Linked DNA regions of Rhinolophus ferrumequinum. The protein of the gene in region 4 interacts with the protein of the main gene of each other region in a pairwise test. Links are inferred from orthologs where the notes say so. Each region holds a gene or a part of one and is shown on either strand. Other genes may lie near its edges. The genes, in order: EMD, DRAM1, SYNPR and CREB3.

What was found.
Region 1: the proteins of CREB3 (region 4) and EMD interact in binary tests that used the Homo sapiens proteins (3 or more experiments, as listed by UniProt). The two-hybrid records come from large-scale screens. The link is inferred for Rhinolophus ferrumequinum from reciprocal best matches to the Homo sapiens genes CREB3 and EMD.
Region 2: the proteins of CREB3 (region 4) and DRAM1 interact in a two-hybrid assay, tested with the Homo sapiens proteins (2 studies listed by BioGRID and IntAct). The two-hybrid records come from large-scale screens. The link is inferred for Rhinolophus ferrumequinum from reciprocal best matches to the Homo sapiens genes CREB3 and DRAM1.
Region 3: the proteins of CREB3 (region 4) and SYNPR interact in a two-hybrid assay, tested with the Homo sapiens proteins (2 studies listed by BioGRID and IntAct). The link is inferred for Rhinolophus ferrumequinum from reciprocal best matches to the Homo sapiens genes CREB3 and SYNPR.

What each region holds. Positions count from the first base shown.
Region 1 is NC_046284.1:6,245,690-6,253,272, forward strand, and holds EMD (emerin), read right to left. Parts: upstream 2,905-7,583; 5' UTR 2,756-2,904; coding exon 2,674-2,755; intron 2,513-2,673; coding exon 2,405-2,512; intron 2,240-2,404; coding exon 2,162-2,239; intron 1,954-2,161; coding exon 1,820-1,953; intron 1,362-1,819; coding exon 1,315-1,361; intron 1,233-1,314; coding exon 902-1,232; 3' UTR 505-901; downstream 1-504. UniProt on the Homo sapiens protein: Stabilizes and promotes the formation of a nuclear actin cortical network. Stimulates actin polymerization in vitro by binding and stabilizing the pointed end of growing filaments. Inhibits beta-catenin activity by preventing its accumulation in the nucleus.
Region 2 is NC_046293.1:17,428,512-17,435,853, forward strand, and holds the start of DRAM1 (DNA damage-regulated autophagy modulator protein 1), read right to left. Parts: upstream 3,007-7,342; 5' UTR 2,604-3,006; coding exon 2,473-2,603; intron 1-2,472. UniProt on the Homo sapiens protein: Lysosomal modulator of autophagy that plays a central role in p53/TP53-mediated apoptosis. Not involved in p73/TP73-mediated autophagy.
Region 3 is NC_046300.1:57,381,170-57,389,159, reverse strand, and holds the start of SYNPR (synaptoporin), read right to left. Parts: upstream 3,015-7,990; 5' UTR 2,783-3,014; coding exon 2,765-2,782; intron 2,652-2,764; coding exon 2,586-2,651; intron 1-2,585. UniProt on the Homo sapiens protein: Intrinsic membrane protein of small synaptic vesicles. Probable vesicular channel protein.
Region 4 is NC_046295.1:51,910,935-51,918,904, reverse strand, and holds the start of CREB3 (cyclic AMP-responsive element-binding protein 3), read right to left. Parts: upstream 3,010-7,970; 5' UTR 2,891-3,009; intron 2,805-2,890; 5' UTR 2,796-2,804; coding exon 2,667-2,795; intron 2,576-2,666; coding exon 2,428-2,575; intron 2,354-2,427; coding exon 2,286-2,353; intron 2,163-2,285; coding exon 2,073-2,162; intron 956-2,072; coding exon 849-955; intron 739-848; coding exon 670-738; intron 1-669. UniProt on the Homo sapiens protein: Endoplasmic reticulum (ER)-bound sequence-specific transcription factor that directly binds DNA and activates transcription. Plays a role in the unfolded protein response (UPR), promoting cell survival versus ER stress-induced apoptotic cell death.

The DNA.
Region 1 (7,583 bases), on a different chromosome or scaffold from region 4:
TAAAATGTGACGATGACACAACACCCACAGCGGGAAACCTGGAGATGAGTGAGGCTAGTCAGCTGAGGGACTGGGTTACCCAGCGTGATAGGGCATTTCAGAATACTCGGAGCTTTTCCCCATTGCATTCAACAAGCAGCTTCCAGGAGAAATGGCCCACCGAGCACGTGCAGCCCTTCGACACCGGGCTTGGCCTCAGCTCTCCCTGCTTAAAATGTCCCAAGCCAGCACTGTGCGTGTACCCTCGCCTGCATTTCCAAGTGGGCTTTCCAGACCCCGTGCTGCTAGTTATTTTCATAACTAGTTATAAGAAGTCTGAGTAATGAGTCAGGGAGTGGACCCCACAAGCAAATCCCAAACACGTCTGTGGGTGACATGTGATCCTTATCCAAAGCCCAGAGCAAAAAGGGAGAACCAACTAAGCCAGGTGGTGAGCCTAGAGACCCAGGGCAGAGCCCAACCCTTTCCCCAGCAGGAAGAGTCCACACATTAAAAACAAACGGTCTTTTTATTGTGTCCACGAAAACAAAGTGAGGGTGGCCTTTGGTTAATCCCAACAAGGTGACAACGAACAGGAGGCATGCGATGACAACAACCATGTTCTCTCCAGGAGCAGGGTCTGGCTCTCCTGGGTCCTAAGGGTCAGAGGCAAGCAGGCCCAGGAGGCTCCTGAGGAAGGTCTGCCCAGGCCCACCATGCTGCAGAGGACCTGAGCCGGCTTACCTTCCTGTCAGGACAAGGCAGGACAAGGCAGGACAAGGCAGGGGGAGCAAGCACTGCCCCAGGCCAGGCCCAGCACCCCCAAGCTAGGACACACAGAAAACCCCCCCTCCCCCAGAAAACCCTCCTAAAGCAGTTGACCAGGACTTCTGAGAGGGGCTGGCCAAAGCTATCCAGACCCTCAGGGCTGGGTCCAGAAGGGGTTGCCATCCTCCGCCTGCATGAAGTAATACACGAAGAGTAGAAAGGCAGCAAAGACCAGGAACAGGAGCAGCAGGCCCCAGAGTGGGACCTGACGGTCCTGGCCCAGGCCAGCCCCATGGGCCTGCTTTTCCGGACGGATGGCACGGCGGGTGAGCCACAAGGGGGAGGAAGATGATGAGGACACCAGAGAGGAGGAAGAGGATGAGGGGAAATAGGACAAGCCCAGGGAACTTCTGGAGATGTTGGAAACAGGGCGATAGTGCGCGATGTTCTGGTAGGTGCCGTCCCGGCCATACATGGGGCGTTCCCTGAGGCAAAGAGGGGAGTAGATGGGCCAGGAGGGCATGGGCCCAGAATCAGCCCCGACCCCTGGCCCGTTCCACTACTCACCTGTCTTTGCCCTCGTCTTCAGAACAGAAAAGGCTGTCATCACGCACCTAAAGAATCAGGGTAAGGAGCATGACTGGCAGGGTCAGGGTGGCCCTGTCATAAAGTCCAAAGTTCCCTGGCGGGCCTCGTCTGATTGTTGCTGAAAGGCCAGGGCTCTGCCCCCTTCCAGAACCCTTCGGAATTCCTGGCCTTATGTCCGTGGGGCCTTGCCACTTGCTCAGTGACTGTCTTGGCTGGCCGCACCCTACTTTCTGCCCCAAGATTATCAGGAAGAGCTCAAACCCAGATCCCAGATCAGGGTACAGAGCATGTCCCATGTGCTCTCGTCAAACAGTTCTGACAGCTCCCCAAAGGAGGGCCCTGACCATCAGGTGTCTACTGCTCCCATCTCTCCCTGGAGGCTTGAGAGCCACCATTTGCACCCAGTGGCCTCCTTGATGTATCCAAACCCAGCTATGCCCCCCGAGGTTGTACCCAAATAGAGGGTGCCCCACCGCTAACTCACCTGGTGGTGAAAGGTGTCCGCATCTGAAAGTGACGCCGAGTGCTGGCGGAAACCCTTGGATGGGCCCATAAACTCAGGCTCCCCGTAAGTCTTGGTGCTCAAGTAACTCTCCTCATAGTAGTCATCATTATAGCCTTGGGAGGGGGGGACAGCGGTAGCAGAGGGGGCAGCGGTGTCCCCTGCCTGGCCCAATGGCCCTAATTTGAATCCCATTTGGGGCCTGTGACACTGTTTCTCCCCTCCAGGGCTGCTGAGGGGCGGTGGGGGTTGAAGTCTCAGGTTCTCTCTGACACTAGGATCCCTGAGGAAGTGGAATGACGTCAGGGCCCACTGCTGCCTTACCCTTGCTCTGGTAAAGTAAGGCATCCTCTTTCTTGGGCAGATCGTACATATCGGAGTCCACAGATGCTGAATCTGAGTCTAAATTGGGGGAGGAGGGGACGCAGAACCATTTGCCCCACGCTCCCTTTTCGCCATGCCCCTCCCTACCAGCGCCCCTGCCACACCCTCGAGACCCCATCCTCCCCATAGCCCAAACCCTGTCCCCACGGGCGGCCAGGTGGGGCTCTGAGGTGGGGGCCTCACCGGAGAACCGATAGGAGAAAGAGGATGAAGACGAGTTCGGGGGCGAGAGCCTCCGCCTCTGGGTCTCGTACTCGAAGATTTTCTTTTCGTAGAGCTTGCGAGTGGAGCCTGGCCAGACATGGGGCGCGGGGCGGTCAGGGGCGCAGGCAGGGAGCCCGAGGAAGGAGTCCCAGGAGGGGGAGCGAAGCGCGGACGGGAGCCTGGGGAGGGGGTCGGGGGGGGGCCCGCAGGGCCTAGCGCGGGGAGGGGGCCCGTCCGCCACCGCGTACCCACGACAGGCCCGTGCGGGATGTTGTACTGGCGCAGCACGGCGGCCAACTCAGCGTCCGACAGGACCGCGTAGTCGTCCATGGCGGGCGGCGAAGGCCTGGGGGCGACCCCGGCCTAGCAACACAGGCCCAACTGCTTCGGAGCGCGGCCGGAGTAACACGAATGCCTCGGGAGCGGCTGCACTCGCGTCACGCCTGCGTCACGCTGGCGTCACAGTCGCGGGCTCTGCGGGCTGCGCGCGCAGGGCGGGGCGGAGCCAGGCCACTGGGAAGCAGCCGGCGCAGACCGGTCCTGCCGTGGGAGTGGGCGGGGCGGGGCTGGTGAGCCTAGACGTCACAAATAGTCAGGATTGGCTAGTGGAGAAAGAGAGGCGGGGCTTGAGAGGGAGCCAAAGCAGAGCGGACCTGTCGGATGGTGGGAGTGGGCGGGGCTGCACGGCCAGGGGAAGGGGCGGGGTCGACGAGCCGTGCGTCACAGGCTGTGGCGTTTGGGCTAGACGGGAGAGAGGGGCGGGGCCTGCACGCGAGGGCAAACAGCATAGACTCGCGTTGACAGGGGAGCGGGGCGGGGCCGCAGAGTCCAAACGTCACCGGCTGGCGAGTTCGGGCGTGAAGCGAGGAGGGACACGGCCGTGCGAGTGGAACTGGCAGGAACCGGCCAGAACGTGGGAGCGGGGCGGGGCCGCGGTGCTTGGAGTGGCTCGCCCTCCTTAAGTTACGTGGGCTCCGCCCGGTCCCTTCAAGCCACCACAGCCCCCATCCCCCAACCTCCAGGGCTCCAACGTTTGGTGTTCCCCGGCCGCCCCGGCAGCAGCGGGAAGGGGCCCGATCCTAAGGGCGAGCCCTTGGACAGCGCGGGTCCCTGGCCAGGCGCTGCTGCCAGCTCTTTGAGCGCGTGCGCCACACTAGGGAAGTGGCCCCGCAGAGCCCGGAACCTAGGACGACCCTCAGGCCGACCCTCAGACCTCCTGCCTCAGGACGGCCTTTCTGCTCTGCTTGGCCCTGGCCTGTGCACCTGCACCCTCGGTCCCCACAGCTTCCCCCGCTACCTGCTCCACCCAGGAGGAAATGGGGCACTGGGCCAGGAGGCCGCCAGCACTCCAGGAGCAAGCAGCCTTGGCAGGGGCCGGCCCGTGCCAATGGGCACTGGCAGAGAGTGCCGTGTGATGCATGCAGAGACAGCGAGTGTCCGCCTGGGGTTGCCGTCCACCTGGGGCACTGGGGGTTTCCTCTCCAGTCTGAATGGCCCCTGAGCACAGCGTGACCCCAGGAGATGGCCAGGCGTGGTCCCTTCCAGACCCAGAGTGGCCTGCTCGGGGGTTCCAGTAAGACTTGGCAGGCTCTGAGCCCCTGGGTCTGGGTGGGCTGCAGTGCCTTGGCAGTGCAGAGTCCCTCCCCACCAGGACCGACCGGAGGGCCAGAGGACCGAGGGGGGCAAACCACAGAAGGCTGCGAAGGCCTGCTGAAGAGCCTGGACGGTCACTAGGAGTTGGTAAGGGCCTTGGTCAGTAAAGAGCTGTCCAGTGGAGATTGGAAAGGAGGTGACATGTTGTAAACAAAGACAGCCAATGGAGTGTGTGGCCAGCTGAGATGCCCCTCCCTGGGCAGGCCCAGAACTGGGAGAATGGGGAGATGAGGTGCTGTCCCTGGTCTTATAGATGATAGCTGGTGACAGGGAAAGCAGAAGTAAGGAGGGCTCTGGTTCAGACCCAGGCTGGCTGAGCCAGCTGGTGAGGGTCACAGACCAGTTCTCCATGGAGGTTTGATTATGGGGTAGAGAAGAGGCAGCCATCCAGGGAGTGGTGAGGAGGTGGGGCTGTGGTTTGGGAACACACAAAGACTCTCAGAAGAGTTGCTGTTGTCTGGGTTGTTAGAGGAAAGGTGAGGTCTGCTCTGTCCCCTAAAATATGAGGAGGAAGTATGTAGGTCACAGACACGTGCATGCATGGCTTCAGAGCAGGGAGGGAAATGGCGTTGGGGTCTGGGCCACTCGAGGCTGCCTCATGGAATTTTGAGTTTTGGCAAGATCGGATTCCCCAGCACCTCTCCAAGCCTTCTTCTGCAATGCTGGCCCATGTCCCAGCGGCTCAGTCCTCCCCCATGCCACCCCTCCCTGTACACATCTAAGCTGTTTCCTTATGAGGTCAAGGAATTCTAGGTTTGCCTTCTCCCCAAGGAACACCCCCTCCCTGGCACCTGCCTCGGCACTCTGCTTTTTATGTCCCACGCCAGTTGTCCCAATATGAGGTCCCACCATCGATGGCACCAGGAGGCTGAACTGTGATGGTCCCCTGCGTTCACCCCATGGCTACCTGGCACCCACGACCAGCCCCGCTGCAGCACAGACCCATCCCAGACCACCAGGAACCAGGACGAACCCTTGACCATCAGAGCTGAGAGTCCCTCTGCAGCACCCCCATCAGGAAGAGGAGGAATTGGGGGGCCAGAGAGGGAGGATACTTGTCCAAGGGCCCTGAGTACTGCAATTCATTCATGGACTGTTCCCTCAGCCAGTACCGGATCCTCAGGTCAATAATCTGGACAGTCTGGCACAGCAGGGGTTCCAAGTCCTCAGCGGGGCTTTGGGGAAAATCTGAGGCCTCCAGGGGAGTCTTCCTGGGAAGGGTGGGCAGAGTTAAAGAAGCTGAGTTTCTGTGGTACTGCAGCCAGGGTGGAAAGGGCTAGGAAGCCGCCGACTCCAAATCAAGAGTAAGATAGTTTCTCCTTTAAGGACAGAGGGGATGGCTTCTAAGCACTATATTGTATAACTTGCAATCCCAGCCAGATTGAAAGTTATAAGGAAAAAGAATATCAACCTGAATATATTTCTCAGCATCCATGTCCAAGGAGATGATTGTTCACTGAGTTATTAATGTTTTCTGTAAGATCAGAATCTTCTTATACTTTAGTACTAAACTTCTCTTCAAGGATGTTAGAGATCCTTTGGATTTTACCTGGTATGTGAATGCTTTGAAACATTGCTCAGGTAGTAACAAAAGTCATAAGATGATGATTATTGTGAAAATGTATGTGTGGATGATTGTCACAATCAACATAAAACACTGAATAGTTAGCTGACCTAAAGTCTCTCAAAGAATGCCTCATGTTCCAACCCTAGAAGCATCGGTTCATGTGGGAGCCGTTGGCACAGCCAGTTGGAGAGTGAGCCTGCCTTGGCAGCAGCAATAGAGCTGATTCTAGTGGTTTTCCAAAACCTTCAACACAAGGAGAAAAAGTCTTTCATTTATGACGGTTATTACCAGGGAACAGTTGGTGCTGTACAAACCTTCGTTCCCCCTATACCTGGAAGAAGGAGAGACCAAGAGCTGTGTGTATTTCAGGGGTGTGTGTGGAGGGCGAGAGAGGCAGTAGTGGGAAGAGAGGATTCACATGGAGGTGGGGCGTCCTGAGATCCAGGCACGTGGCCCGCCTCCTTCGTGTCCCCCAGCTCTTGTACACATGGCAATGCCTGTGGTAGGTGGGTTTCCCTCCTTGAAGGATAGCCTTGGCCATGAGCTCCAGCACAGCCACCTTATGGACCTGAACTCAGGTCGCTCCTCTATCAAGTGATGGTAACCCACCATCCTCTTCAGCTGTGGTGGTGGGCGGGTCCCACCAGAGGGAGCAGTGAGAGTTGGAAATCCGGACACTGCTAGGAGATCCCACCATGGGTCAAGGTGGAAAGGTCAAAGCAGAGCTACCACTAGCAAAGGCAGGAGTGGCTGTAGGGAAGCTTGGAGGGTGATCAGCGCCTTCCTGTTACTGGTAAACTGTAGATCGCCAAATTCTTTTAGCAGGTGTGACCAAGCTTCTTCCTTCCATTTTTATTTCTTTCCTTCCTTCCTTCTTCCCTCGCCCTCTCTTTTAATGGAGTAGAATGGAAAATATCAAAGAGCTTTGCAGGTACTAAGGGAGAGTCTTGTTTTGTGAAATGTTTGTTTTAATTATTTGTGTTTGTGTGTGCGCATGCACATGTTTTATGTGGCCTTCTTCGGAAGTGACATTTGAGCTGAATCTGAAACTACCAGGAAATGGGCAGAAGAGGAAGAGGGAGCCTGGCAGTGCCAGGGCATGTCTGTGCCACCCGGCTCACAAACACTTGGCTCTTTGGCTGCACCTCACTGTACACTCTCAGGCTTTGGGACTGCATCTGATTGTGCGCCTAGGAATTCACCACTGTTCTGCTGCCCCCTCCCTGGACTGGCACCAGGCAGGGGCCAAATCAGTGGCAGCCAGGCTGCTTGTTCATCACCGTGGACTCAGGTCCCTGCCCCACTGGGGCCTTGTGGGTGGTAAGTGCTCAGTGAAACACACCTGCAAAGATCTGTTGTCCCCACCACCCCAGAGGGCAGAATCTGATTTGACTGGCCAGCCCAGGCTTGGGGCAAAGGTAGGGGCAGTGACTGTGGGTGGCTCCCTGGAGGAGGTGGCCTTTCCAGCTGGGTTGAGACGTGAGCCCTGCAGACCCCACGGGCACTTGAGGCAACCTCCCCCCATCACCCCGGCAGCCTTCACCGGGTGGTGAGCTCATCGGGGGTGGGGGGTGGGGGGTGGGGAGCGTCACCAAGCAGCCGGGGCGCTGAGCTCACGGCGCGCCCCCGCCCCCCGGCCACTGGGCGATTTTACCAATTAAGGCTTTTTCGCCCAGCAGGGCGCGGGGCGGGCGCGGGGCGGGCGCGGGGCGGGGGTGCGGCCAACAAGAAGGCGGGCAGCGGCGGCCCATTCGCGTGGAGGCGCGCGGCGCGCAGCGGACGCCAGCGGAGCCCAGAGGCGCCGGGCGCGGGCGCAAAGGCGAGCGGGGCGCCACCCTGCGGTTGTGGGCCGCCCACAGGGACAGCAGGTGAGGCAGGCCTCCGCGGCCCGGGTCCGCGCGAGACGGTCACCGCGCTACTCGCGGACCCGGGGCGGGG
Region 2 (7,342 bases), on a different chromosome or scaffold from region 4:
TGTCGATTTTTGATACATTTTGGAGAAAAAACTTGAAACCATTTAATGCAGTGAAAGAGTTAAGTTAGATTACTAAACGCATTTTCAACTTACGATAGTTTCAGCTTAAGATGCGTTTATCAGGAGGTAACCCCAAAGTCGAGGAGCATCTGTACATCCAAATCATTGACCAACCACCAGTGATTGACTCAGGCCTTCCCTGAAGGGAACTGGCCTGCTTGAGGGGGAAGAATACAATAACCACAGTGAGTGCCTGAGAAATATTAATTCAACAAATAATGTTGAGAGCCTTCCTAGATCTTACACTCCAGAGAAGGAAGACAAGTAATCAACACAATAAGTAAATCATATAGTTTGTTAGAAGGTGACAGAGCTTTGGTGACTAGTAAGACTGGGTATGGGGGATCAAGCGCACTAGGGTGCAATTTTACATAGGCCTATCAGAGCAGGCCTCACTGAAATAATACTTGAACAAAGGAGGTAAGGGCAAAATCTGGAGGTAGGACACTCCGGCAGAAGAATAATCAGTGCCAAGGCCCTGAGAAGGAGGTGTGCCTGACATGTGTGAGACACAGAAAGGAAACCAGTGTGGTTGGAGGAAATGGAGGGAGTGAGGGTAAAGAAGAATAGGAGGTAGTGAGAGCAGAGAGGACTTATAGGATATAAGGGCCAACACTTCTGGGCAAAACTGACAAATTTGGCACTACTTCCACCAGGTCCTGTTGTCTAGCTCTTATCTACCTACATCTTGTCCTTGCCTCAGTGACTTGGTTTTCTAGGAGGGGCAGGAGCAATTCAATGCGCCAGCTGCTCTTGTCTACAGGGAAGCAGACAACTGCAAAGCCTCAGGCACATGTGAGCAAGAAATACACGTTTGTTGTTTGTAGACTGATGGCTCCTGGCAACAAGGGAACAATCTCATGCCTTTTCTTCCTGTAATTCTTTTTCTAAAGGCTTTCTCTCCTTGTTAAATTTAAACCCTCTCCCTTGGAATGTCTGTGATTTGCGCATCTCACAAGTGGTTGTCTTGTCAGCTCATTTCCCCATTTCTGAATGTCTTCCATTTCAGGTTCACCTTGGGGTAATATTAATCACAACTATATCAGACACCTCTACAAACACTCAAACCCTGCCTCTGACTGCCTCGCCAATGCGAGACAAATATTATCTGTCCCTGACCTTCAGATCTGGGACAAATACAGCTACTCTTTTCTCAATAAAAAGCATGGCAGGGAGAGAAGTTTTTACACAAGTCTAAGAGGATCTATGCTGCTTCAGAATCCGGAGGAGTGACACAGTGGCACTTGGGACTGAGCTGAGCCATGAGAAACTAAGCCCAGGTTTCTGCAGGGGCACAAGGCCTAGTGAGAAAGTCTGCTTGATGCAAGAAGCCCCTCTTTCTGCATCAATACTGTATATTTGCCCCATTCTGCAGAATGCTCTTCCTTGCATCTCTAAACTCGAGTCTCTTCTTGCTTCATCTTCACTCCCTTCCTGACCCATATTACAGAATATTGTGCACAAGGCAGAATGGCTGCAGAAAGGAGAAGCCCTACAATCTATAATCTCTACAAACACTGGGTGTCACCAACTTTATTATCCCCTCACCAGCCAATACAGATCCAGAGGAGTCACACCTCTTGGATAAAGATGAATTGTTCTAAAAAAAACACTGCCATGAGCAAGGCACCGAGTTGGGAGGCACATGGAGAGGATCAGGACGTGTGTCCTGGGCACTGATGAAGTCACCCTAAAAAGGTGGAGGCCAAAACTCATGAGAAACACACATGAGACAACACAAGGGATGTCACAAGCTGACAATTTGAGGGCTCTGACTTTGGGGGCACAGAACCCAGAGGGATCTTGGGCAGCTCCATCCAGGAGAGCGAAACCCTGACCCCCAATGACCTGGAGGTACCACAGTGTAGCTTTTGGCATGAAATGGATCTGGGCGTGGATTCTGCTTTCACCATTTCCTAGCTGTGACATCAGTGTCACACTGATGGTATTTCAACATCTGCTTAAACTTAGTTTCCTTTCGTGAAAAATGAGCCAGACATCCACTTCAAGAGGATGTTGGGAAGCAGAAGTGAAACATGTGAGCTGTTTTAGCGCACACCTGGATCTGCAACTTGCACTCTCAATAAACAGCATCCATCAGGTCCTGTTTCAATATCGCCAAAGACGCGTCTTCTAGAGATGCTGTCCCGCACCCAGTCTGAAAGTTCTCCTGTCTCTCCCGAACCCCTCGTGATGACACTGTGTTCTGCGTCAAGTCAGAACTGCTTAGCTCCAGCACCCCCTGCGTCCCTACACATCTGCCAGGGTGCATACTCTCCTCTCCTCGTGTTCAGACCTCGGTCTTTCCACAAGACACCCCAGCTGGGTCTGGTCCCCCGTCCTCCCCATCAGCAGCGCTTCCCTGTGGTGCCTCTGCCTGGTCCCCAGTCCTCCGCTCACCCTGCCCCTCACCTGATGTAGGGGAGGAAGGGGTTGACGTGCCCGGAGAGCACGGCGACCACGTAGGAGATGATGAAGGCGGCGGACGACCAGGTCACCAGGAGGAAGGGGACGAAAGCCATTCCCTTCAGGAAGCACAGCATCGCGCCGCCGGGAATGCGCTGCGCTCAGCGGGTCGGGACGCCGGGCTGTTCCTGGCTGCTGGGGGGGGCGGGCGCCGCCACGTGCTGGCCAGCCAGGCGGCGTCCCCCGCACTGACAGCCACGAGCTGCGGGACAGGAGGCTCCGCGACGGCGGGGGCAGGCCCAGCCGCAGAGCGAGAGGAAGCGCGGGGACCCGAGGAGGCTTTGGAAGGCAAGGCGGCGGGCCGGGGTGGGTGGGGTCCGGGCGGCCGGGGCTTGTTGCGAAATGAGTGAAGTCACAAAGCGGTACCCCGCCGACTTGGAGGAGCGCGGCGACCACCCCGTGGACGCGACGCCAGGTAAGCGGGGACGCGGCTCCTTTCGCTTTTGGTTCGGGCTCTGCAGGGGTCAGCGCGGCGGGCTGCTCCGGGGACGCGGGCGGGAATGAATGCCCGCCTCTGGGAGCTGCGGGTTGCGCAACTCCGGAGAAACCGATCAACCCCTCCCAGCCCCTCCTTCCCTGGGGGTTTCCGGGGTAAGGGACCACGAACACCCAGGGCTTCCCCTTCGAGGTCCCAACGCCTGCACTTCTCGGGGGAGACGGTGACCACCGCGTGGTGACATCCACCCCATCCCGTCGCACTGCTATTACTGCTGCAGGGGTCCGGGAGAAGTGTTCGGTGACGTTCACCAGGCCACGCGCGGCACGGATGTGACACGCACCTGGATTGTGTACACCTGGAAACCAAGAGAGTGTGGGGGCTGGTGGGAGCCTGGGTGGGACTGAGCTCTAGACAGGCTGGGTGGCCCCTTGTGCCGCCCACAGTTCTGCTTTACACCAAAGTGGGCTTGGAGTGTTTGTTTCTTAGGAATTAGATTTCCCTTTCTCCTCTCACTGAACAAGCTTAGCCCAGGAATGGGAAACACGATCTAAGAGAAGTACAGGTGACTTAATACATTTCAAACTCTGTAAAAGGGACGTATGTCCTGGAGGCACTTGCAAGCATGGTGATTTTGAGATATAGTTTAGGGATTCTGAGCTGAAGGTATGTGGTGGGGGTGAGTGGGTCATTGGTGACCAAACATGGGTTCATTTCAGCTGCATAAAGTTTTCGGTTGTCACACCCTGCTAGGGGACAGGATACAAAAGATTAAATAGTTCTATGGGATCTAGAGAACTGACATTCAAAATAAAACAATATTGTATGGAACATTAAATAGATAAGAGGAGATTAAAAAAATAAAACAGAGATATGCACAGAGCTGAGAGGCAGGGGCCAGCGCTGGGACGAAGAACCAGGAAAAGGTTCCTGACAGACGATGTTAAGAGTTTCCCAAAGTAAATGATTGTTCATCAGGCAAAGAAAGGTGAGACTAGCATTCCAGGCCAAGGAAACAGGAGAAAATGCATAGAGTGTGAAATTGCTTGTTTTTCTGGAACTAAAACAGCACTCCGATAAGTGTAAGACAGGGAATGGAGAGGTAGGCGAACAGGCCATGTCACCAGAGTCCTGCTAAGAATCTTTGTTTTTGTGTTTTGGTTTATTTTTTGGTAGTGAGGAGAGTGTAAGAATATGGATAGACTCATATTTCAGATCATTGTGGCTTTGGGGTGAGTGAGCACCATATCGAATAAAACAAATGCTTTAAATTAAGGCTTTTTAGAAATCACAAAAGCTGCCATCCATGGTGATCCATTGCACATCTCTACCTAGGTTTCTAAGTTGTGAAAATCACTCTCTTTCCGTCCCCTTCCTTTTCTCCTTTCCTTCTCTACTACTGATTCATCTGATTTAAAAAGCCCTCCCTGAGGCAGAGGAATTATGACATCAAATGGAATTCACCTGATTGTCTTGTCTTTCTGTTGCTTATGCAATTCCCTTAAGTAATCCAGCTGGCTAATCACCTTTAACACAAGCAATTACAAGCGTCTGACTATAGCAGCAATAGGTATTTTCTTGTTTAAAATAAGTATGTATATGTGTATACACTTAAAATAGGTATGTAACTAACTACACATATATGTACGTATGATATCAAGCAGTCCTGAGAAGCACTGCACTGCTTCCTCTTCTAAAAGCTTTCGGTCCCGTAGACCTTATAACACCTTCTCCTTGGAATAGTAAAGTTTATGTGGTGCGTGGATGAGAAAAGGAGTTCTATGGAAAGTAACCTCCCAGGGCGATCTGATCATAAATTCCTAACTGGGCAGGTCATGCCTCAGGCATATAACTTCTTTAGTGAAAGGTTTATCTTTGCCTTAAGTAAGCCTTGTCCACTGTTTCTGTGCATCTAAGTTAATATCTCTTTGAAATAAGCCTTAACCGCCCTCAAAGAGAGCACATAATCTTGTTAACTATCCTGTAATCCAATCCCCACTTTGCTTTCCCCCACCTCCAAGTAATCTTTTTTACATTCCTTAATTTCAAATGCATAAAAGAAAGTGCAAAACTGTTATTTTCTGGAGCAGTTAAGATCTGACTCCCTGGCATATGTCCTCAGTTTGGTTCACAAAAACTCTTGTGAAAATTCTCTGCAGGTGTGGATGTTTCTTACATCAACAGGTACAAAATGCTGAAGTCCTAGAAAACAACCTTACTGGTGAAGGAAACCAAAATATGTCACCCCAAAATATGCCTCTTTGACATAATTACTTTGAGTTGTAAGGCAATTAGGAAGCCCAGCAAAAGCAGGAAGAGCTCTCTTTACCCTCCTCCTCCTTTTCTGTCTAAAGGCAGGGTATAAGTTTCCTTTATACTGCTCTAGACTCTTAGCCCAGAGATGGCACCAGAGGAATTTGCTAACAAACCTTACTGAGTTAGCTTCCCCCATATGTTTACCTTCCCCCCATATGTTTACCTTCCCAGTTTACTGCCCCCCCCAGCCTAAAACCATTTTCCTTTGTCATGTTAACAGAGAACCCACTGAGAACCTAAATATTTTTCTTCCCCTACACCGGGTACCTTTAGGATGATATATAATGAAAGTGCGATTCTCCCCTTGAATTGATTCCTGACTTTCTCACTGTCAAAGGAAGTCATACTGACTCAGTAAGGGTTTCAAAGGACTGTCCTTTTGAGGATGAAGTTATTCTTCCTTGGTAGCCACCACTTATTGAAAGGCAGTGAGTGTCCTTCCTCATCTAAAGAATCCCAAAGTGCAGGTGTTATCCCCTTTTTATGGATGAGGAAACTGAGCTTAGGTCATGCAGCTAATGAATGGAGAGGCAGCTAATGAATGGAGAGGCAGAATTTGAATCCAGGTCTATCTGACTCATGAGCCTGTAATCCTAACAATTGTGAAGAACTGTCTCACTCTCCTAATTCCTCAAACTCCAGAATTACAGATGGAAATGCCTTAAAATATATGTAGTTATATTTTATTTTTGTACATGTGTATGTATTTATGCAATTTGAAGACTTATACAATATTACATAACAACATAAATTGTCATGCAGGGACTCAGCTCCCGCTCCCTGCACAAGAACACAGGATATGGTGAGGCCAAAAAGGAACACCAACAGAGCCATAGATAGGGGAGTCATACCACTATGCTCTCGCTGGCGGCTGGGTTGGAAACACAGGAAGCAGGAGACACAATCTGCCGCCCGCTTCTCTGCCAACCAACCAACCCCCTTGCCAGCGTAGCCACAGCAGTTATATTAGTGGCTAATGGCTAACCGGTAACAGCTGATGGCCACCCAGCCCCAGCGGACGGCCATCTGATTACAGCTGACGGCTGTCTAATAACCGAGCCAGCACCTTTCCACGTGAGGTCGAGAGCCTGGAAACTGCTCTCTGGGACTCTGTCCCCACATAAATAATTGTGAAACATGACTTATTGTTGATGGCTGCTGACTGATCAGGGTGGTGGTTGCTGAAGGTTGGGGTGGCTGTGACGATTTCTTAAAATAAGACACAAATGAAGTCTGCCGCATCGATTGACTCTTCCTTTCACGGATGATTTCTTCGTAGCACGTGATGCTGTTTGATAGCATTTTAACCACAGTAGAGCTTCTTTCAAAATTAGAGTCAGGCCTCTCAAAACCTGCCACTGTTTTCTCAACTAAGTTTGTGTAGTATTCTAAACCCTTTGTTTTCCTTTCAACAATCTTCACAGCATCTTCTCCAGGAGTAGATTCCATCTCAAGAAACCACTTTCTTTGCTCATCCTTAAGAAGCAACTCCTCATCTGTTGAAGTTTTACCATGAGATTGCAGCAATTCAGCCTCATGTTCACTCTCCACTTCTAGTTCTAGTTCTTTTGCTATTTCTACCCCGTCTGTAGTTCCTTCCTCCACTGAAGTCTTGAACTCTTCAAAGTCATCCAGGAGGGTTGGGTTCAAATTCTTCCAAACTCCTTTTAATGTTGATATTTTGACCTCTTTCCATTAATCACAAATGTTCTCAATATCATCTAGAATGGTGAATCCTTTCCAGAAGGTTTTCAATTTACTTTACTAGACCAACTCCAACAGCAAAAAGATTATGAATTGCTGAAGGTTCAGATGATGCTTAGCATTTTTTTAGCAATAAAGTTTTTTTTTTTTGGTTATCATATTTTTATTTTTATTTCTTTTCTTTTTTTTAATTAAATTTATTGGGGTGACAATTGTTAGTAAAATTACATAGATTTCAGGTGTGCAATTCTGTATCACATCATCCATAAATCACACTGTGTGTTCACCACCCAGAGTCAGCTCCCCTTCCATCACCGTACATTTGATCCCCCTCACCCTCATCTCCCACCCCCCAACCCC
Region 3 (7,990 bases), on a different chromosome or scaffold from region 4:
ACACTTTTATTTCTACAGCATAAATACTGAAAAACAAAAGGACTGTACTTTAAAGACTTTAAATACTACCAACTTTAAAGATGCTCTATCACAGAACTGGAGAAACTGGGATATTTTCAGTGTTCTGTCATTGTAGATTTACACTTTTGGTTGATCATTTACTGTTCACCAAGCACTAGGAAAAGCACTAGTGGGAAACAGACAAATAGAACAAATGTTCTGCCATCTAAGAGATCACACTCTCTCTCATTGCCAAGATCTCCTGCAGGAAAGGATATCGCAGAGTGGCTTTTCACATCACTGCATGCACAAAAAACATGTTTTCTTTCCCTCTCTCCACCGTGTTAAACTTTCTCAGCAACTAACCTTCTATCTCTCTGCTTTCATATCGCCACCTTAGTTCTTTTAAAGTGCTGATCAACTATTTTACTTGTATATAAGGTTTTTTTTGTCCATTATTCAGGTTCTCGTCCACAAATGAGAGGCTAATACCTGATTTAAAAACCAAAAGCCCTTCTTCCTTAGAGCCTTAGAGACCTAGAAGAGAGAGAGGAAAGACTATAAATGTAGTAACTTTTCTATTTCTCTCTCTCTCTCTCTCTCTCTCTCTCTCTCTCTCTCTCTCTCTATCTCTCTCTCTTTCTCCCCCCCCACAAGAAAAAGACACCTGTAATGCAATATGATAAATTCTCATGAATGAATGAATGAATGAAATGAAATGGAAACCCAAAGAATGAGGTGAAGAATTCAGTAGAGAATATGGAAAGGAGTAAACATGATAGAAATCTTCACTGAGGGGGTAGTATTTAAGCTGAGGTTAAAAGACAAGCATTTTTTTTTCCTAGGCTGTGGGTGTGAGGGTATTGCAAACACTGTGAACAGAAATGGCGAAGTCTTTATGGGGAAAAATGCTTTTGAGTTTTGGATGGAGCTTAGGGAGGTGGTCCTCCAACTTCACTGTGCACAAGAATTATCCAGAGAACTTGTTTAAAATGCAGATTCTGGGGCATTCATCTTCTCAAGATTTTGATTAATGTCCAGAAATCTGCGTTTTAAACAAATTCATCCAGGTTTACCAGCCTTTGAAATTTATCAGTAGAGGTTGTGTGGTGAGTAGTGGCATAAAATAATGTAAGAGGATTGAAGAGAATACAAACTAACGTTTCAGGTAAATGACAATGTGAGACAAGAGTTTATGTCAGAAAAATTATGTCAGGTCTTTGAATTTTGTTTTGAGAGACAATGGCTTGGCAATGGAGCTATTATTTTGATCAAAGACACCACTCTTTCACAGGGAATGTTTATTAGATGGCTGAAGGAATGAATGTGGACAGAATTCTGAGACAACTGAAAGTTTCCTGGACTGTGAGCGCTGCTCGATTTGTTCAACTTAGTGAGCTGTAAGGAAAACAGTTTTAGAATAGGCATTCCTGAACCTCTAGCTCAAGATTTGCAAATGCAGTCTTAACATATGTCAAAATGGATATATTTATGCATTTTTATGCAGGTCTGCAAATAACGATTATCCTGTACATCACCCATGTAAACAGGCACCACCGTTGTAAAGCCAGACCGAGACAATAGCCCTCGGAAGGAAGATCTGGGAGAGCAGAACACACTCTTACATAATTTCCCAGCTAGTCAGTGGTAGGGCCTGTGATTAATGCTACGTGACGGGCTTTGAACTTTCTGTTCACAAGGTTCGCTTGCCTCTGAGAGCTCCTAGCAAGAGGGAACGTGTGACCTGCAGATTTCACTCTGAATAACCATCACCCAAGCCAACACCACTAATACTGCTCTGTGGCCCCGTGAGTTTCTCTGCCTCACTCCTCTGTCAACAGACAAGTTAACATACGACTGTCATCAATTGTTCTTTTTTTAAGGGGGCAAAATCTAAGAGTAACATAATCTCCCAAAACCCAGTCAGTGATGCATGTTACACAAAGAAGGCTGGGGAGATCTTCCAGTAAAAATCAAAAGAGTCCGCTAGGACTGGCCAGAGTAGAGAAATTACAACATGGAAGGAAGGAACCCCACTCTCCAGCCCAGTATCTTTCATAGCCTCGCAGCTTCTCTGTCGCTGGAGCTGCAGCGGAGCAGTTGACCCCAGCGCTTCCAGCGTCCCAGCCCAGGCGAAGAGCTGTCCCGGTGCTGACCAACTTTCTGAGGTTGGCTCAGTCCTCCCAGCTACCCCGCTCAGCCCCACGTCCCTCGTCTCAGGCCCTCGCCCCTGAGAAAGTCCAGGTGAGCAGAGGGACCCCGGCGGCAGCCCCTCCATCAGCTCCCCTCCCATCTCCATCTCCCGCGGAATCCTCTTTCATCAGACACCGCGCGTTTGCGAGCGCTGAGGTGAGATAACACCTCGTCTAAGCGCCTGCAAAAATTCGTCCACACCCCCGCCTCCAAAGGGTCCCTCATTCCTGTCCCCGCCATTCCGGAATGGCACCTTGCGAGTGGGGAGGATTGAAATAGGGAGATTGAACCCCAGCTCTGAGCAGAACCAAGCATATAGCACCTCACCCGACCTCTCTTCGCCTGATGGTGGGCCCCCTGGGTCCCCTCCCCGCACAGAAGCGTCTACTTACCAGTTCCAGGGCTCGCAGGAAAGCAAGGGGCTCTTTCAGCGCCCGGAAGGTGCCTGCTGAGGCCAGCTATGGGCGAATGAGACAAGAGAGAGAAAGGGAAAGCATGAGGCAGGGGCTGGGGCGCATCTCCGGAGCCTCGGGGTCCCCAGGACCAGCTGCCCTGCCCCGTTCGGTCTCACCTTACTCACAGGGTCCATAACTCGCCCTGCTCCGTCTTCCTACCCACCGGTTCCCTTTCAAATGAAGTTCGAGGAACACGCCGGAAGCCTCCTCTCGGGAGGAACCGGAGGAGCGAGGCCGGGAGCAGCCAAGCGAGGGCAGGGTCCCGGGAGATCGGGGTGCCGGGCGCTGGCTCCCCGCTCTGCGCTCTCGGCGAAGCCCGCGCGCCTGGAGCGGAGCAGGGCAGCGGAGGGCTGAGGAGGGACGGGCTTGGATGGGGGGGGCGGCCGGGGCGGGAAGAAAGCCAGCGCCGGCAGAGGGCTGCAATTGGCCAGCTGCGAGCTTCAGGGGAGGGCGGGCAGGGGGGCGAGGCAGAGCCACAGGCATTGGTGCGGGCTCGGCCGCGCGCCCCACGCCCTCAGGCTCCGGGGAAACTTTGGGGTCTGTTGATGGAGGAAGGCAGGCTGGTACCATCAACAAGACGGCTTCCTGCCTGACGCAGGGGCTCCCAGGGAACAGAAAGGCATCCACACCTTACACGCGTAGTTGTGTGAGTGCTGGTGACTTGTCTATTTCCCCGAGCCTTCATGGAACGCCCTCCCTGTGGCCAGGCAGTGCCCAGGTGCTGGCATGCAGCAAAGAGTAGGGTGAACACTGCCCCTTCGCCCCGGGGAAGCAGAGGGTTAGGACTCAGAGAGAACGGACTAGAGAGGAGAGGGAAACAAACTCATCTTGAATATGGGACAATGTGCCAGGCAGGTAATCCCTATGGCCACTAGATGAAGTCAGGAGCAAATTATTGTGCCCGTTTTAAAAGCAGAATACAGACGTAGGCCGAAATGGCCAAGGTAATACAACTCATGAGGGGCTGAGCAGTGACTGGAATTCAAGTTCCTTTGAAATTCATGCTGTTTCTACTAAGCTCCTTTGCCTAGGTACATCTCAAATGAAGTCCCTGAATTCATCATAAGTAGGACCAAGCCCCCCTTCTAAAACTCAGATTCTTTTTTTTTTTTTAAGATTTTTTTTATTGGGGAAGGGGAACAGGACTTTATTGGGAAACAGTGTGTACTTCCAGGACTTTTTTCCAAGTCAAGTTGTTGTCCTTTCAATTTTAGTTGTGGAGGGCGCAGCTTCAGCTCCAGGTCCAGTTGCCTTTGCTAGTTGCAGGGGGTGCAGCCCACCATCCCTTGCGGAGTGGAGGAGTTGAACTGGCAACCTTGTGGTTGAACCCACTGGCCCATGTGGGGATTGAATCGGCAGCCTTTGGAGTTAGGAGCACGGACCGCCTGAGCCCCTGGGCCGGCCCCAGATTCTTAATCTACTAACCTTAGTCTAATAACCTTGAGGAAAATAATAAATAAAAACAACAAGAAAACAATTGAGTTCTTTCTATGAGTCAGAAATTGCACTAAGGGCTTATAAACATTATTTCATTAACGATTCACAAAACCCTATGGGTTAATAGTACTATTATTCTCATTTTAGAGATGAGGAAATTGAGGATCATGGAAGGGAAGAGGTCTGTCTGCTCAGGGATGTACAGCTAGTAGATAACGAAGCCAGAGCAAGAATATTAAAAGGAGTCAGAAGAAAGAGAGAGAGAGACAGAGAGAGAGAGAGAGAGAGAGAGAGAGAGAGAGAGAGAGAGAGAGAGCAGAGAAAGCTCTTAGCCCAGTGTAGCTGATATTCCCTTTGGACTGGATTCCATGTATGAAGTGGTCTCCCAGCAACACAGATAGGCCATCTGTTTACTACAAAGATTTGCCAAGGTTTGGAGTTTGTGTGTGTGTGTGGGGGGGGGGGTGGGAGGTGAGGGGTGGGGGGTAGTAACTAATATTTGAAAGTGGAGAAGAAAGAAATGAATCATTTGCAGATTGGGAAGGGGAGGCAGAAGGCCAAAACTGAGTATAAGAGAGTGTCCAGTGTAGATGCCCCTTGTCCATGGATTTTGTTAGAGAAAAACTACTAATTTAGTCAGGACTCCAAAGGGCTAGTTGCACCATCTTCAGTCAGCCAGTTTTATTCCTACTGTTCTTCCTACATGCAGAAAGAGTCTAAAACAATTAAAAATGTTGTTTCAAAAATAAGCCATTATGCAACCACAAGTGGAGGGGGAGAGAACTAACATTTCCAAGTACTTAGTGTGTACCCTGCAATTTATGTATATAATCTTATGCATAAAGTTACTTTGTCTCTTCAATACCCAGTTTTTGTTGTTGTTGTTGTTTGCATTTTTTTAAATCTGAAAGATGGAGCCGTGGCACCCATCTACCTTGGCTGGTTATTAAGAGGTCTTAGTGAGATTTTGTAAATTACATGTGTAGGGCAGAGTCCGGCACATCATAAACTCTCTACATGTGTTAGTTACATTCCTCACTGCTTACACTTCTACAGATGCAAAGATGAAGGCCCAGAGGGTCACATTAGAGACTGGTGCATTGTAGCACTGACCTGCCACTCTCTGCTGAGCCCGTCTCATATATATCCCTGATCTTTTGAACTCAGGAGTTGTCATTTTACTTATTTTGGCCAAGAAAATGTGGCCAGAGGTGATGTGTGCATTTCTGGACAGAAGTTTTAAGAATCTCTCTGTGACTTGCCCTCTTGTTTATTTGTCTTCTACCACGTTGAATACAATGTGTTACATAGTGGCTACTTTGACAGCCTGGTCCCAGCCTAAGGATGATGTAGAACAAAGGTGCAACTAGACCTTAATGGACTCAAACCTGAGCAAGAAAAGCATTTGGGGTTGTAACAAGTGAAATTTTTAAGTCTTTTGATACTGTAGCACAACATATAATAGTTCTGGCTGATTGAGCCAAGAGTTCAAACAGCTAGTAAGTAGCTGAACCAAGATTCTACCCTGAGTCCATATGAACTCATTGATAGTGTATTCTTGCTTTTTCCATGATAGTCAACTAGCTTATGGGGTATAACATCTCCTGTATGTTTGATAATGATGCTAATGATCATAATAGCTAATAATTCGGTTCCTGGTACATGCCAGGCATTGTGCTAAGTGCTTTACAGACATCATTTAAGCATCACCAAAACCCTCCCTTTAATGGATGGTATTTAAGGCTTAGAAAGGCTAAGTAACTTGCCCCAGGTCATCTAAACATTTGTATATCTTTGGACAGAGAGAGTGATTTATTTAAAATATTTCCCATTTGCATTTCATTTGAGCTGTGAACTTGGCAGAGATGAAGTGTGATTATTGAGCCTATTCCCTCAGGTGTCTCTTCACACCTAATGTTCCTTCTTGCTAATATGGTGGCAAATGTTTCCAGTCCTACAAACACCACGTGAAGGAAGCCAGAATTGTGGCAAATGAGAGTATGATAGCTTAGACAACAATTGCACATTGTCAGAGATGCTTTCCACGTTCCTGAAATGCATGAGCTTCAAACAGCTGCATCACGAAAATAACCCAGAGTTCCATATCACATTTGCAATGTTAAATATTTTGTTATCTTTGGGATAAGAACCTTTATATTCAGACATGGAAATAACACTGGGTTTCCTCAAGAACTAGGTTGGGAGAGGGAGGAGGGATAATGAAAATACTGCCAAAATATTACTCTCAGTGGCTAAGGGGTGACCCCTTCTCTTCTTTCCCAAGGTGGCAAAAGGTAAGTTCCCACTTACTATCACAAATCTATTGCATTGGCTCAACAATCACATTAACTTTTGTGGGGTATAAATGATCTCTATTGATTATGTAAGTCAGATAGTTTCCAAATTCCTTTTTTTTTTTTTTTCTGCCAGGGACTTATAGTTATGAAGACTTTCTTTGACATGCCAAAGCAATCCATTAATTTACTGCAGTGGTTCTTAACAGAGAACGATTTGGGCCCTTCCTTTCCCCAGGAGTCATTTGGCAATGCTTGGAGACATTTATAATTGCCACAACTGGGGGTTGGTGCTACTGGCATCTAGAGCTGAGAGACCAAGGACGCGCTGCTCAACATCCTACAATGCAGAGGAGAACTGCCCACAACAAAGAATCATCTGGAAAATATCAAGAGTGCCACGGCTGAGAAACCCTGACTTCTCTTTAAACAAGTAAGGACTGCATGCCTATTATGTGTTGGTACTGTCCTAGGTACTGTAAACAGCTTGACAAAATTTCTGCCTTCACAGGGCTTACATTTTAGTCGGATATACTCAGCTCAGCATTTGCCAAACAAGCAAATAAACAAAATTCAAATTATAAAAACAACCATTTTGAATCACAAAGAGGATTAACCTTGAAGCAAAACTACAAAAAACCAAAGTACCAAGCTATGGTAGACAGACCTGCATTATTCAGGCAAATTAAATCTCGTTTTCAGGAAAAAGCATACCTGGGCTTCATCTTCTCATGTCTCTGATGGCAAGGAGGAAAAAGTAAGTTAAAATGTTATCCATAGCAACTTAATATAGGAGGAAATACTACACATATGTTTAATTACTTAAAATACTGGAAATAAGAATTGAGTAGAAGTCATTCAAAATATTACCTATTTTACTCTCTGCTCATACTGTTAACATGAACTTTCCAAATCTTTCCTTAACCAGTGACTCAAGCCAAGGCCAATAACATGTCTGTGTAATTATTTGTTTGCTTATTCGGTTTGCATAGGGCCACTGAGACACAGGACAGGAGGTGGTGTGGAAATATTTTCAATAACTCTCATTTTATAATAACTACAGCATTCTCTTTCAACCCAAAGATCAAATAAAGTCATCTTACTTATTTGTGTTTCAACTTAAATGGCTATCATAAAATGTGCAAGCATGTGTGTGCATTTGGTATAAAACTTCATCATGAAATAAGGTTCCATAGAGTTCCTATGGAATTCTTAGCATTCAAATAGGATCGTTCTTAAATAACAATTGTAACTGATATAAAAATTCAAATGTGGATGGTCAATGTGAACTTGCATCATAAAATACTTTTACTATTTCTATGTCAATCTTTGTTTTAAACAAAAGGTATCTGTGTAAATTTGGCCAGGCTTGAATACATGCAAATTAGAGGACCAAAACTCATGTCAAAAAGATTCACCCCAGGGAATAATAGTCATAACAGTAATCAGAATAATGACTCTTGAGATGTATAAAGCAGTAAGTAGATGCTGGATATAATGCTAAGTGCCCCCACAGGCATAACTCATTTAATATCCTCATCAGCCTTATAAGTATGCACTACTGTTTCTCCCCTCGTGCAGATGAGAAACACAGGCTCGAAGAAATTTAAA
Region 4 (7,970 bases):
CTATAAAGGCCACCCCTCCATCTGTGCACTAGGTCCTCTTTGTTTTTTTTTAAGCAGGAGAAAATGTTTAATAACGTATACCCCATGTATACACGAGACCCAGAAGCTCTAACTCGCTTGTTTTTTGTCCTATTTTTGCAAATAGGACATTTTGTCCTCTCTGTGGACAAAATGCCTGAAGTTCCTCATTAAAACAAATACACACCTCTGCCCTGCCCTGACTTAAACTCTTGCAAAGTCAGTGGTTCTATACTGCCTAAGTAGCTATGCACATAAACCTCACCAGGCAGCCTACATTCTCTCCCTTCTGTCCCAACTCACCTATGTTAGGATTCCAGCCAGACTAACCTGTGCTGTGTTCTCTCTCCCTAAAATGTTCCCCCCCCCGCCCCCCCCCCCCCCCCGAATCCTATCTACTACCAAATGCCATCTGCCCTGTGAGGTCTTTCTTACTCCCTCCTTTTGTCTTTCTTGATACTTAACTCATCCTTAGTTACTTGTGAATTTAATCCCCATTACTGTGAGCGTCTTAGAATCAGACCCACTAAAGGCCATACACCAGACCTTGCATGTGGGAGCTGCCCAGTTGGAAATCAAATGTAGAGCAGGGAAAAGAGTGAAAGCTCATTAAATGGGAGGGATGAGAAGAGACTGAGGTTAGTTGCTTACAGATTCTGTTCTTCCAGGAGCTGTACTTTGTTCTGTAGCTCCAAATTCTGGGCTGTGTATTTCAAGACCCTGGGGGAATAACAGGGATGTGGGGATATGGCCTGTATCCTCCCTTCAAAAACATATCACTTCCAGCTACTTCTGTTCCACCCACCCCAGAGCCCCTCTCCTGTTTATACCTGCTCTCTAAACTCCCCAGGTACACCTTCTTCTTCCTGCGGCTCTCTTGAGCAGACTTTTTATTGCGAATCTTCCTCCGCACTCGTTTCAGAACTTGTTCCTCCATCTGAGATAATACAGGGAAAAGGGGTATCATCACAGAACACTGGACCAAAGAGTTGGAAGGCAACTGAGTAATCTTGCCAATGCACGAATCCCTTCTACAGCTTCCTTGACCAGTAGGCACTTGGCTTCTGGCTAAATGCCTCTGAGGACTAGGTGTTAACACCCTCATAAGCCAGACTATTTTTAACAATTTTATTAATTAAAATTAATCTTCCCTATCCTGAGCCAGTATCTGCTTCGATAATTCTATCCATTGGACTTACCTCATACCTAATCTCGGGAGCTATACAGAACAAATGGTCTTCAGCTATTTTAAGACACTCAACATTTCCTCCAAGCAAAGATAAATCTGGGCAACTTTTTTGGGGGGTGGGATAAAATATTTAACTCATCATCTTACCTCCTCAGGATGGACTGTGTCCTTTTACTCCTTTTACTATCTGTCAAAGATCTGGACTCAAAACTTGGCACTAGGATATGCTCTGACCAGTATAAAGGAGAGCAAGATAGTCACTGCCCTTCTAGAGGAAATACCTCTATTGATACAGCCTCCAAACCCCATTCACTTTCTTAGTGACCATATCACACTGCTGACTCATCTTGTACTTTTAAGAAACTCTTTTAACCTTTCTGTCAATGAACATTGATCTCATCACAGTATCACAATATTATGCTTGCGAGACTGCCACCCATTGCTTCTTGAAACTTAAAACTCAAGATTTTACGTTTATTCTTGTTATACTACTAAGTCCAGTCTTGAACTCTAAAACTTAATTCGACCTTTCAGCTAGATAGATATGGTAATCCACCTAGTGAAATCTAAATGTCAGAGCCCCTTGCTTGCACAGTCCTTTCCAAGTCCCTATACTAACTAATGCACTGGTAATTTTGAATTCTTTCCTACAAAGAATACCAAAATTTGTGTAAGCCCCACAAAACCAGGATCTGCCCCTGCATCCAGTATATAACTACATCCCCCGGCTTCCTATTAGCAGCAAATTTGCTTAATTTCTCACTTTCGTCCTTTAGTAAGTTACTGATGAAAAATTAACAGAATTGGACTACTTGGGACTCAATCCTCACCCCTCCAGTCTTTGATCCACCACTGGGAGTCTTACCTTAGTGAGAGGAAATGTCTCTGGCAGAGTAAGCCCCTCCTGCTCCAATAGCCTCTTTTCCTCATCTGTCAGTATCAGCCTAACAATCTCCTGGGGTTACAGAAAGGTGGGAGGCAGAGTCACAAGGGAGCATGTCAGAGAGGAATGAGGAATCCTGTCTGCAATGTGGGAATAATGTGCAATGTGGGAATAATCCTCCAGTAAACAAAGTACCTGTTCTGCGGGCTCCTCCACATGTAGGGGTGTCATCTGGGCCTCCTCTTTTCCAGAACTCCCACTATCTGCAAAAGGGAAAGTGAATAGCCAGGTTCATGAGTCCCTTCCTCCCCTCAAAATTCACTTATTTCAGACTCACCTAGATCTATAGAAACATGTTCCTGTGGGAGAGAATAGGTGTGGTCATGATGGACCAGACAGGGATTCGAGCTGTTGAGAACGTTCGACGATGCTGGGAAACTCGTCAGGCAGCTCAGGAAATCCTCTACATCCCAATCGCTCAGTGCCTGAACAGGATTCAAATTAACAGGCCTTGACCTACCACCATCCTCAAGAACACCCCGCCCCCCACCTCCCGGGCTCAGAGCCCCCGCCCACCTCGGAAATCGGCAACTCCCAGTCCAGTGGAGCCTCGAAGGACGCATCGGACGCCACCCCCAAATCTCCATTTTCCTCTAGTAGTAAGGCCAACAGGTCCTGGTCACCCGGGTCCAACGCCAAATCCATATGGGCCACCTACAGAAAGAATGGGCACAAGCGCAGGAGTTCACCCTTCCACCCGGCCCCATGCACGACCCTCACCGATTGTGAGTCAGCCCCACCTATCCGCTAGTCCCTATTCGGCCGGCTTTCCCCGTAGCTACTAGTCGTAGCTCTCAAACAAGACCCGCCACCGAGACTCGGTTCTCCGCAGCTTCCAACACAACGGAAGTGACACGCCTACCCCAAAGCATCCCGGGACTTAAAGTTCTCTCTAAACGCGGAAGTGGCTTAGGTGCCGCGCCACGTCCCGGGAGCTATGCAAATACAGGGGAGGTCCCTGCTGCTTCCTCACACCCTGAGGGCGGGCATTCTGGGGAGCCGGCGCCGCCTTTGCCCCAAGCTAGAATAAGGAAGGATCAGACTCCAAAGGAACTGCGGTGCAGTTCGGCCGTTTCCCCGGGACTGCGCCGCACCCTTGCTTCCTGCGGGGGAGGGCCAGACGGTCTTCAGCGCGCTCCCGAGCATCGAGAGCTGGGGCCAGAGCAGCTTCCTGCCGTCCCCCGCAACCATAGAGCGCGGGCCCAGGGCGCCGCCCGCGGGTGGGGGACGTTCCAGGGACGGAAGTGGCCGAGAGTGCCGAAGGGAGGGCGAGGCCGGAGCCCGAGAGCCATCGGGAGAACAGACGGGCTAGCGGGCCAGCGGGCGGGGCACAAGCCGGGCAGCTCAGGTAGGCTGGACTGGGCCAAGGGGGAGTCTCAAGGTGGGGCCTCGAGGCCAGGCCGGGGAGGCGGGTGGGCAGGCGGGGCCCCTAACTCTCCTGCGTCTCCTGTTTCGGGTCTTGTTGGAGGGGTCAGCGTCCAGTGCATCCGGGGTTGGGCTCGGAGTTAGGTAGGCCGTTTTGCGGGAGCCAGGCCCTTCCTGGGAGCAGTCTTCTGTCTGGGATAGGTTTTGGGGAGGATGAGAAGTAGGGTGGTAGTGAGGTGCAGGGTGGGGATCGGCTTTTGAGGTTAGCTGCTAGGAAAGCGTTGGGTGAGTTTGGGATTAGGTGAAATTAGATTTAGGAATCAGGTTAGCTTTAGGAGTTATAGAGCCAGGGTTGAAATTTATAGTTATTAGCCTGAGCCAGGTCCCTTTTATATAGATAAAGTTTGGATTAAGGTCATTATTTTGTTTTCTAGGATGGCCAGAGTAAGTCAAAATTAGAGTTCAGGGTCAACAACAGGAATTAGGTTAGAAGTTCAGTTTCAGGGATTAGAGAACCGTGGCGTATTAGGGTCAAACAGTGAAGGGATGGGTCAGGAATCAACTGACAAATGAGCTATAGGTTTAGGAGTCAACATTTACGGTTAAGGTCAGAGGATCTAGTGCTAAAGGTAAAAATTCTATCAATATTAGGGATCAGGGATTGGATACAGGTATCTTCCCAGGAAGGGATGAATGTCAAAACCGGTATTGGGAAACAGGAAACAAATTAGGGTCAAGGTTAATATTAGAAATTAGGGGCAGTTTTAGAGGTGGTGGTTGAGGTTAGGGTAGTGACTTCAAGCAGGTAAAAGTTACAACATTGGCAGTAGGTGGATGTCCTTGTTTTGCGGTGGTGAAGTCTCTTTTTCCTATGTAGTTGCAGGGGCTTCTTTGACCTAGAGAAATGACAAACTAATTTCACGCCATAGTTCTGGACTTCAGCTAGAATTGCAGGCATCTGGGATTCCACCTTCTTTATTCTACTCTCTAAGCCAAAGGCTCTTGCTATGGCCACCACATTTGAGAGGCAGGGGTTCCCAGACTATGTTGTTTACAAGATAGGAGGTGGGAGACAGGTCAAGGCCTAGTCATAAGTGGGGGACCGCCTAGGGGAGAAGGGACGGGTGACTAAGAGGGAAGTAGAGCAAGGAGACACTGTTGCCAAGGGAAGAAAGGGATGACTGAATCCTCTCAAAGTTCAGCCCCACTGCCTCCTATTTCCTTCATTATCTAGATATTAAGCCCTCCTCTCCAACTCTTCTCCCTGGCCCTGCATTTCACACTCTTCCTGCATATTCCTTTACAGAATACTTACCTTGCCTTTAATTCTCCCATGTTCATCTTACCATCCATTCCTAGCCTCAGGTCTGCCTCCCTTCCTACCTGTTAATCTACACATCCTACCTTAATTTACCTTCACCCAAATCCGAGCTTTCCCATTATTTTACAGCACTCTCCCACCATTTTCACCCACTCATTCACCTGTATACCTCTTAGTCATTTGCTGAATACCCCACCCCCAGCCCAACACAACTGGCAAGTACCCCTCATCCCTGCTATGTGCCATTCCCTGATTCTAAGCCTCCTTAATTTCTTGGTCCTGTTGTAGATCCCCTTCCCCCACTCCCTAAACAGAAAAGAGGAAATGAGACCCAAAGAGGAAACTGGGTCTTGCTGATCCCACGCCCAGGCAGGCCACTGACCACACCCCCTTTTACTCCCAGCCTGACCCTGCCATTGACCACAGCACTATCCCCTACCCAGCCTGATGCAGCCACTGGCTGCACCCCATGCCCTGCCCCACCCCAGCAACTCCAGCTTTACTTAGACACTACCAGTGTCCCTTTACTCTCCCTCCATCCCAGCCTTCCTAATTTAGCTCCTGACCACAGCCCATCTCTTCTCAGCCTCCTGTAGCCTGACCTAGCCTCTGACCTCACTTCATCCTTCCCTGACTTAGCCACTGTCCACAGAACTATTCTTCCTCTTCCCCAGCATAAAGTGGTGACTGATTACATATGTATTTTTTCCTACTGCCATCTTACCCCACGTTTCTCGGTACCTTGTCTTCCCCATTTCCAGTCCAGTTCAGTAACTAACCTTATCACTTCTTTTTTAATTTTAAAAGGAGGCATGTGTATGCATTGTATTTTTTAAATTAATTTATTTTCCAATTACAGTTGGCATACGATATTATGTTAGTTTCCAGTGTGCAACATCGTGATTAGGCATTTATATACTTTACGAAGTGACCACCCCATAAGTCTAGTACTACTTGACACAGGATACTAACCTCATCCCTTTTGCTCCTACGTGGTACCGTCCACATCCCCACCCCCTTTTTCCCACAGCCTAACCACATCCCCTAACCACAGCTCATCCTCACATTCGCAGCTCACCCTGATCCTTTCTTTCCCCCTTCCCAGTTTCTTACCTAAACTCAAGCTATCCCAGCCACTGAGGGGCCACTAATGACAAGAAGCCTGACTTTGGGCCCTGGGCCCTGAGGGGTGACAGGACAGGCTGTCATGAGGTCCTTTTAGTTCTATGTCTTAAAGTTTCCAATGAGTGACATCCTTCTCTCCACTATTCTATTTCTGGCTTCATTACCCCCCACTTGTGCTAATGCAGTGTCCTTCTAACCAATCTCCAAAGTAATTGCCAATTATTTTCCTAAAATCCAGTTCTTGTGATGTCCCTTCCCTGCACACAGCCTCCCTTGGCCTTCTGTTGCCCTCCAGGAGGTAAAATCCCTCATACTTCTCTCTAGTCCTCCCTTGCCTTTCCATCCTAACCCTAACTGCTCCATTGCAGGTACCCTGTGCTTCAGCCAGCCTGTCTGCTCACTTCTTGAATGTTCCTCCATGGTTTCCTGCTTCTCCACCTTTGCTTATGCTATTCTCTCTGCCTGGAATGCTACCCTTGACTCATCTCCGGCTGATGTAGTGGAGAGAGCTTGGGCTTTGGAGTCAGAGAGACCTGGGTTCGGATCCTGGCTTCATACCTTATTAGCTGTGTGATTTTGGACAAGTACCTTGAACAAATTTTTAACTTCTTGGAGCCTCCGTTTCCTAATCTGTAAAACTGGAAATAATGACGCCTACCTTGCAGGGTTGTTGTAAGGATTGCCGAAATTATGTATACAAAGCAATGGACATATAGTCAATAAAAAGATCACTATTATTTTTTATTATCTTTATTTTTTTTTAATTTTAACTTCAAAGGACACTTTTCATGGAGATTTTTTGGTCCCCTTTCCCTTACCTAAAGGAATCACTGCCCTGAGCATACACCTCTTGGCTCTTTACATCCTTCCCTCTATTATAATTCTGTATTTAGCTCATCCACTTAGCTGAGTGGGAGTCCCTTGAGGGCAAAGGCTAGGGCTTACTCTTGGTTCCCAGCCACTGAGGGTTTGGCCCAAGGCCTTCCCCACAACAAGTCTTCAGAAATGCTTGCTAAGTGAATGGAGGGAGAATGTCTACATAATGGAAGAAGAGACATGGGGTGACTGTTGTGCTTGCTGATAGAGGTATATTTGTGGGGAAGCTGAGTGCGTGGGATGGGGTTTTTGACGGAAAGATAAGGTGGTTGTGATGGGATCTGTGTAGGGGCTGCGTGTGTGAGATAACGTGTATGTAGAGACAGTGTAAGTAGCTTTGTGGGGAAGAGCTGTGTGCACAGATGGGCTGGGCTGCATTTGAAGAGAATGAATTTGTATGGATAGGAGAGTAGGTGAGGAGGGGCTGTGTTGGGGGAGGTCAGGCCCAGCCCTTCAGCGCCCGGTCCAGCCCTAAATGAGCCTCCAGCAGCCTGAGGCTGGATATGTCAGTCTCACCCACAACCCTCACCCCCACCCCTCGCGGGTTACAGACTCAGAGGCCAAATTTGGTAACAGGCTGAGTGTTACTCCCCCAACCCTCTTCCATTCTGACTCTGTCTTCAGTGTTCTCTCTCCCTTTGTCCTTCTCTGTGACTCCCTGTCCTTCTGCAACTCCCTTTGGAGGTATCTGCTCTGACTATATTCTCCATGTACCCCAAATTCCTTACCCCCTGTACACTTACATTCCATTCCTTGCTGGGATTTGACCTTCTGTCCTCTATTCCCCCTCCAATTGCCCAACTCCTCTGGAATGCATCTCAGGAATGTCTTGAGGGAGGCGGAGTTCCCTGGGAGGGGGACATTGGGGGAGGGGGTGTTGTTGCTGTTTCATAAAACATGATGGAAAGGGGATCAAAGTTCTCAGACCAGAGCAGGAACGGGAGAGCTTCTCCCTGTGCTTCCAGGGCCCTTGTTCTATGCCCGTATCACCCCCAGCTCACTCCTCAGTGCCCCTTCTTCCTCACCCCTTGTAGCCATGTAGTTGTCCACTCCGGACGAGCCTGAGAGGAAGGGTAGGCATGACTCAACTCCCTTATCGGGGTCTCACCAGAGGTTTCCGTACTTGAGGAAGA